Linked DNA regions of Coturnix japonica. The protein of the gene in region 1 purifies or fractionates together with the protein of each later gene. This does not show direct contact. Links are inferred from orthologs where the notes say so. Each region holds a gene or a part of one and is shown on either strand. Other genes may lie near its edges. The genes, in order: TRAF7 and MAP3K3.

Region 1 (3,814 bases):
GCCTTCCTCTCCCACAAACATCAGTCACCTATCAACAATCACTTAGATCTAGGAAGGTTTGGATACTTCTTGTAGCACAAAAGAAACATGCTATATTAAATCAGAGGTTTGCATAAGGATAGTATTACTGACTGACACAACATTTTCAATGTAAATACTCAGGAGTCCAAAATGATCGAGAATTTACACATGTAATCCAAACATTCCCTCCAGGCAGGTCATTAATTTCCTTATCTAAACCAGTGTCAAGTGCCAGTTTCTTATCTTTACTAAGGTAAGGATATTTTTATTGCAAAGTGAAACCAGATCTCTTCCCACATTCACGCTGCATGCTGGAGCTCAGACTCCTCACCTGCTGAGCTTTGAAGAACAAAGCAGAAGAATTTTAAATGAGCAGGTACATTCACACCCCCTCCTGTCTGAGCTAAAAACGAGCACAGGGGATTTACCAAAGCGTCCAGAATGACACACAGGCAAAGAGTGAAGATCAGAATTCTCAGCCCTGGTAATGGTTGCATGAGAAATCACATGGATAAATAAGATTTGAAACTAAGTTTTGTATCAGATCCTGTTGTACCATCCTAATTTCAGTAAGATCTTCCTTGTGGTTCTCTAATTTCTGCTCATTCTCATTCCACCACACCTGGTGAGCAAATGTCATGAATAAGTGACACTTGGGCTGTGTAATACTAAAAACAGTACTCTGTCACACGTCTGCAAGTAAAACACAATGACTGCCCCAACAGCTCTGTGAGCTCTGTGAAACAACAATGAGAAGAAGCCTGGTGGGATTCATGCCCAGTGCTCTGGGGAGAAGCCCCACAAATGAAATGCACTCACCCTTTGTGATAGTCGTCACAGCAGAGTACGCCGGCCCAAAAGTTGTTTCCATTCTTGTCTGAAACACAGACAGAATGAATGTCAGTGTGTATCAGTGCAGCACAGCCTGAATTCTTGCTACTTCTACCGAACTGGTGACTATATATGAATATAGTCTGTATGCATTCTTAAGTTTCATTTGTGGATACTGTGATTGTGATGTGAAAAGCATCAAATTTTCCACCACTGTGGGAAAGAAAGGATGAGAACAAGAGAAGCAGCCCCAGCTCATAGCACCTATACTTACCCCGTTAGTGTTTTCTGAAGCAGTGATGTTTGGTGTGCCACTGGAGAAACGATTGAAGCGAGCGTTCTTGTTTGAGGTCATAATCTAGACCAGCACTTGTTAGTCATGGGAAGTTTGCTCTGTAGAAGAAAAAGGACAGAAAGAGAGTTAGGTTTGTTGTACAACTTCCAGGCTCAAAGAACGCTTTCCTCTAGTATTAAGTCCAAGTATTTACCTAAACTCACATAAGTTGGGATTTTCAGAAGTAAGTGGCAAGGCCAAAGTCAGGCCCCTTCAAACCACTCCTGGGAGAAGCATCCAGCATGTTCCAAAAATCCAGCATATTTTAAATGATTCCTTAATCTCCCACATACTGGAACACTCATCACCATTAGCAGCTTTTACAAATGTGTAACCATTCCAATTGCAGATGAGACTCCTCAGCAGCCAAAGAAAGGCAGCATCCCACTGTCCCACCATCACTCGGTTCCAAATGAGACCCATAGAGACACATGTGCCAGCTGTGTCTGACAGTCCCAGCTCAGAGCACACCACAACCCAAACAGGCAGAAAGGTCTGAGCCAAAGCCTTGGACAAAGCCTGAACCTACAGAGTGCCAAAGGAGCTGCGCATGCACAGAGGGCAAAAGGATGTAAAGCTGCACCAGCAGAGCCCTTATCCCTATAAGAAAGAAACCTTACTTCAGTTAACACTTCTGTGATTCTGGATCTCATTCAATTTCTGCTCAGAAACAGCCCACAGATCATCACCCAGAGAGAGAAATCCCCTCCCTCAAATGGCAGTAGAGGGGCTCACTGCTCTTCTTCAGTTGTTTACCGGGTTCAAGTTTGCAAAGTCAAAGTATTGCACAATAATAACCTGTGGAAGCACATGGAGATTGCTTTCTTCTGCTGAAACCTGATGCTGGCTTGAGGGTACTAAAAGAACTTTACAGAGGGGGTACTGAAGCTGCTCCCCCAGGAAGGAGCTGCAGCTCCACACTGCCATCCCAAGGAGATGCTGCTGCCCGGGACAGAAGTTCCCATTGTGGCCTTGGCACAGCAGGGAGCTCTCCTCCTTGGCTTCCCCTTCATCCTTGTGGCTGGAAGTCACTGCTGGCACTCACAGCCTGTCCCAGCCCACCCAGTGCTCCAGGAATAAGCTGCTCAAGAAAAATCCTGATTAAGGATCCCTTTTTATCCAAGGTACAGTTAAATCTTGGTGCTCTCCCTGCCAGCTACAGAGTCCAAGGGCTAAGCAGGCAGACCAGACAGACAACAGTAGTGAGAAGTGACTGGCTAGAACCAGTTGACTAAAACACAACCCAAATCTGTTTTTCACTTGTGCTTGGCTCTCACCCTACAAGCACCATGGGCTGCAGCCAGGCAGGGCAGTGGTCCTGGTCCCATTCCTTGCAGGACCATCTGCTTGCAGTTGGGTTGGGGCTGCTCCTCCCCATGCAGCTGCTCCTGCTGCAGGCTCATGGGGAGGTAAGATAACTTGGCTCCACCTAGCAAAGGATCTTCTCTCATCCAAGAGTGACACATCCTCAATCTCCAAGCACTTCATAACAGTGTGTGATCACCTCTTTTGTAGTATTGGGAAACTGAGGCTCAAGGTGTGACACGACCACACAGAGCAGCTGGGACCCAGGACTCATGCAGAGCTCCTTCAGTCACAGCCCCAAGAGCCCCAGCTTTGCATGTGTCCTACGCTCACATTTTAAATGCTGTGAACATGATGCTGAGACATCCCCAGCCCCTGACCAACTGCTCTGCTGCCTGGCACAGCACACTGTGTCCTGCATGGACAGCATCCATAGGGATCACTGCCCCTGGAGCTGAACTCTTGGGAAAAGCTACAGGCTAAAAAAAAGAAGAAAAACAAACCAAAACCCAACCCAAAGTAACAAACAAAAACCCCCAAACCAAGCCCAGGACTATCTTGAAAACACAGATCTGAATAATGTTTTCCAAACGTTACGAAGCTCCGTCCTGGCTGCCTGTAAATGCCAGATCCCTTAGGAAATGCTAAGCAGAGTTGCTGATGTCCAAGAACAGCAGGAACGAAGCAGGACCGTGCTGCTGCATCGTGCAGATTGAGGAGCTGCCTCCCAGCTGCAGTGCGGCTCCAACAGTTCTAAACTGCCTGCAACAGGGACAACCTGAGGCACCTCTCCAGTAAAATGCACATTCCCCTGCTCCAAAGCCCACTCAGAGGAATGCAAGATCCAATAGATGGTGGATAAATCCAAAGCAAGGAAGGAAGCACGGGTTGGAACACAGGGATTTTCCACTCCTTGTTCACACCCCAAACCCTGCAGCATGGCTGAGCAAACTACCTGTGAGCAGCAGGAGGTAACCTGCCCTGCATCTCGTCTGAATAGAAACCAGGAGAATGCAAGCAATGGAAAAAACATCAAGTGGAATATGTGCCAACGTTCATAACACCAACTGCCACAAAAACAGCCAATCTCAGCCCAAATCCCTGCAACCATCAAATACAGGAGCGATTACAACAGAGCAGATGTCTGCAGAGCAGCCTGCCGATGAACTCTGTCACAAGGCAGTGAAAAAGGCCTTTGCCAGTTGATATCAAAGAACTTAAAAGGAAGTGGAGAAGAGATGGTGTTCTTGATGTTAATACCAGCTTCCCCTCCAGATTTCCAAACCTCGGCTTAGCACCTGGAACTGTCAGATCTGAGCAGAA
Region 2 (3,814 bases), on another chromosome or scaffold:
TCCATTCTCTCCCAAAGAATCCCAACTGGGAGACTCTGAAGAACTTAACTCTTTGCATACAGGTTAACTTTCTGCTATGCTTCCATTCACTGCTTGTATGGGAAACAGTATAGGCCTTTACTGTGGAGACACTAACATACTTTATGCTGCTGTCGTTTAGCTTGGTTTTATAATCTTACCTTCTTGAGGCCTCCAAAACTAACATTTTGACACAGGACCATTTTGCTTTTTCCTTTCGATAGAGAATATTTCTTGGCTATGCCAGTAATAGCAGGGCTATAGTTTCCACTCACGCATACTTTAGATCACCTCTGATCTGGCCTGTATCTTATGTGTTATTCCAGGTTCAGGCATCGTTCCTTCAAGGTTTTGTCAACATACTCAAATTCTGTTCCTTTCATTTCCAGTGTTATAAGCATAACTCTCATTTTGCAACAAAATGAATGGACTCTCCCCAAACAATCTTCAGTCCCTTATCAACATAAGGGACATAAGAATGGTGGAAACCTCAGGCCAGAAAGTCAGACAATTAGCTATCAGCTTGAGGGAGGAATTAATGGAAATCCTGACCTAAACACTAAATGAGCAGCTGTGTGTTGACATGACAAAGCACAGCCTGCAATGGGCCTAGCCTTAAGTTCAAACCTTCAGTTCACCTTAAACTGCTCTCATTTTTGATCCAGACAAAATCTGAGTTTGGATATATGGTTAACAGAATGCAAAATGTCCAGAAAAGTTGTAAACTGATCCATAGGCAGAAAGTTAAACCCTCACCATACGTCTGCTTTTCTTCCATAGCCCTCTCCGCTGATCACCTCTGGGCTCATCCAATATGGTGTGCCAGTGACAGAGCGGATGCCTGTTCCAGACATACAGATTGTCTGCAGCCGTTTGCTGGCCCCAAAGTCCCCAAGCTTCACATTCCCAGCAGAGTCACGGAGAATATTGGCTCCTGGACAAGAAAGAAGAAAAAGAATAGAGACAGCTGTTTTCATGCAATCCAGCTGTTGGATTTGCAGCCTACAGAGCTAATATCTAACCCAGAAATACCCAGGCTCATGCTATGGCTTTCTCCCTGTTAAGCCCCAGGTGACGTGCTAAACATCATTTCTTTATTTCAGGCTGTAGACAAGCCAGCTGTTAATGGCTAGAAATGGGAAAAAACTTCAGGGGAAAAACATAAGAAAGCGAAGGGTGAGGGGAAACGAAAGCTGAGTCAGCACTGTCATTGTTACACTGCCTGTAAACAGTTCAGACAAACTATACAGGGCCCCTAGGCCAATGGCTTAGATAGTACATAGTTGTGAAGAAAAGGATTTTATTTGGATACTGCTTTGGTGGATATACCCAGCTGACCAGAAAGCAATAGTTAACAGATGTATCTAATTAAACCACTTTGAACTCCTACAATAAACAAGTCAATCCCCACTTTACTTGGTCAGAGGTCCTGAACATGAAACACAGAGGAAATAAAAGCAAACTAAGAGGATACCTTATGTGTGGATACAAGCAAAGGCTTAGACATACACACACAACAAACCTTCCTTCAAAGCTACAACAGGATCAATAACTCTTTTTTGCCATTATTTGCTATATGCCTATGTGAACTCCTTCTGCCCTCTGGTAAAATTTGTGTTCTGAGATGGCTTTACCACTTTGCTATCCCACTGAGAGAGCTGAATTCAGAATAACAACACTTTCCATCCAGCACCCTGGAGACAAATGAACTGTTCGCTTTAGAAGATAGGTGCAGGTTATTGAATAATCCATTGGAAGGAAATCATTTGGTATAGAATACCATGTGAGCAGTATACAAGGTGTTATTCATGAATCAGCAGCTCATTTCCCTTTGCCAGCCCTAGAGGGGAGGCGATGAAGATTTATAGGCAGGAACAAGAAGATATTTTTCTTGCAGCAAGCAATGCTCCTGTCCCTCCAGAGCACAGAAAAAAAACTTGTGTGGTGCCTGCCACATCTGTTGACATTAACTCTTAAGGAGACTGCCTGGCTCCATGGGGTTTTACTGGGAAGAGGAAGACTAATCACACAAGCTCTACATGGAAGGTTACAGAGGTCTCTTACACAGAGCAGGAAGGACAAGTCACAAGAGCCTGAGGTAAGCAAGACTGACAAGAGAAGGCACAGGGCTCTTGCAGCAATTGTATGTTTACCAGCTGAGAAACAGCACTTAGGTCAGAAAGGAAATTAGAAGGGAATCCACAAGGAAACAAATGTGTTATGAGGGCAGTGAAAGTTAGGAGGCAACTTAACCTCATTTTGCTGAGGAGTCGGAGAAAGATGAGGAGTTACAGCTGAGCAGTCCTAAGAATGAATTTGAGGCTTGCATTCTTCCTTAACTATAAACACCAACTGCCACGCGCTCAGGTTCTGTACAGGAAACAACCCAACTTCCCTCACCCAGTCCACAATACCTCCTTTCCCTAAGGCCTGGTCAGGATACAAGACAAATGGATACTGAACAAAGCAATGTTCAGAAGCTCCAACCAGGATAGTGAATCCTTAACATTCGGCTTCTTTTTCTGAGTTCCTTTAGTACATGGTAAAAATCACCAGCTGATCTCACCCTTTATGTCCCTGTGCACAATCATGTTGCTGTGAAGGTATGAGACTCCCTCGAGAATCTGGCGAGTGTATTTCCGAGTTACATTTTCTGTGAGAGCACCATATGCTTTCAGCTGGTCCTTCACCGACCCCTGTGCCAAAACCAAACAGAAAAGACTGGTAAAGGAATGACATACCACAAATCCTGCAGTCTCCATTCAATTCCCAGAGCTGAGACCATGTTATATACCCAGCCAGCACATGAATGAATTCTCTTCTAAAGCCTTTTCTGTGAGGCTCACAGAACTTCTTGCTCTGTGAAGCCCCTTTTGAGAAAAGCAAGGACATTACAGCAAAAATACATTGAGGACTTTGTGTGCTTTCTGTATCCTTTAGCTGTGTTGGTACAGATGTCTGTGGATACGAGCAATAGACTACTTTAGCACACAGATTCAGGTTGAAGGTTTCCCTTTTGCAGGGTCAGTTTTATGCTAGTTTGCTGCAGTGCATGATTCTCCTAATTCAGTCAGCCCAATTTACGAGTTGACCCAAGTTCTTTCAAGTACTTTGGCAAAACAAATTTACACTCAAGGAATAGAACTGGCTTTAGTGATTAACAAAGAGAACGTATTTCAACTACAAGACACAATGGATCACCCAGTTTAAACAAAACCACTCATCTCCATTTGTGTCAGCTCTTACCCCTGGCATGTACTCCATGAAGATGGTCAAGGTCTTTTCTGCTCGATCCCGCAGGCATCCATAATACTGAACAATACGTTCGTGCTGGAGGTTCTTCAGCAGCTGAATTTCACACTCCAGGGCACTCACTTCCTACAGATGTTGGAGAAGAAAATTAGGTTCCAGCCCTAGGAAATATTTCATCCTAAAAAATCCATCCACCTCACTGGCGGGATGAGACCACTACTACAGCGATGCAGTCTATTCCATGACATTGGCTCACCTAGCTTATGGGAAAGGCAAACAATACCAATGCTTCATGTTAACCTTTACTGTACAATAAGCTGGTAGTAGTGGTGCTGAAACAGAACAGAGGCAGTATCATATTTGAATGTGCTACCAGAAAAACACTTTGTTGTCTTGAATCTGTCAGCTGTTTACTGAATGGCTTTAGGCAAGGTGACAGAAAGCGTTCTTTAAGGACAATACAGAAATAACCTCAACCCTCAGCACTAAGCAGATGGCAGTGAGCTCTAATTTCAGTTATGAAAAAGGTCTAAGTAGACCATTA

Evidence for each region.
Region 2: the proteins of TRAF7 (region 1) and MAP3K3 purify together in Homo sapiens (affinity purification with mass spectrometry; 5 studies listed by BioGRID and IntAct, with this or other methods). This does not show direct contact. The link is inferred for Coturnix japonica from reciprocal best matches to the Homo sapiens genes TRAF7 and MAP3K3.

The regions. Positions count from the first base shown.
Region 1 is NC_029529.1:6,371,709-6,375,522, reverse strand, and holds part of TRAF7 (E3 ubiquitin-protein ligase TRAF7), read right to left. Parts: intron 1,246-3,814; 5' UTR 1,208-1,245; coding exon 1,127-1,207; intron 899-1,126; coding exon 841-898; intron 1-840. UniProt on the Homo sapiens protein: E3 ubiquitin and SUMO-protein ligase that plays a role in different biological processes such as innate immunity, inflammation or apoptosis. Potentiates MAP3K3-mediated activation of JUN/AP1 and DDIT3 transcriptional regulators.
Region 2 is NC_029542.1:2,207,270-2,211,083, reverse strand, and holds part of MAP3K3 (mitogen-activated protein kinase kinase kinase 3), read right to left. Parts: intron 3,397-3,814; coding exon 3,265-3,396; intron 2,715-3,264; coding exon 2,585-2,714; intron 1,429-2,584; exon of another isoform or gene 953-1,428; coding exon 775-952; intron 63-774; exon of another isoform or gene 1-62. UniProt on the Homo sapiens protein: Component of a protein kinase signal transduction cascade. Mediates activation of the NF-kappa-B, AP1 and DDIT3 transcriptional regulators.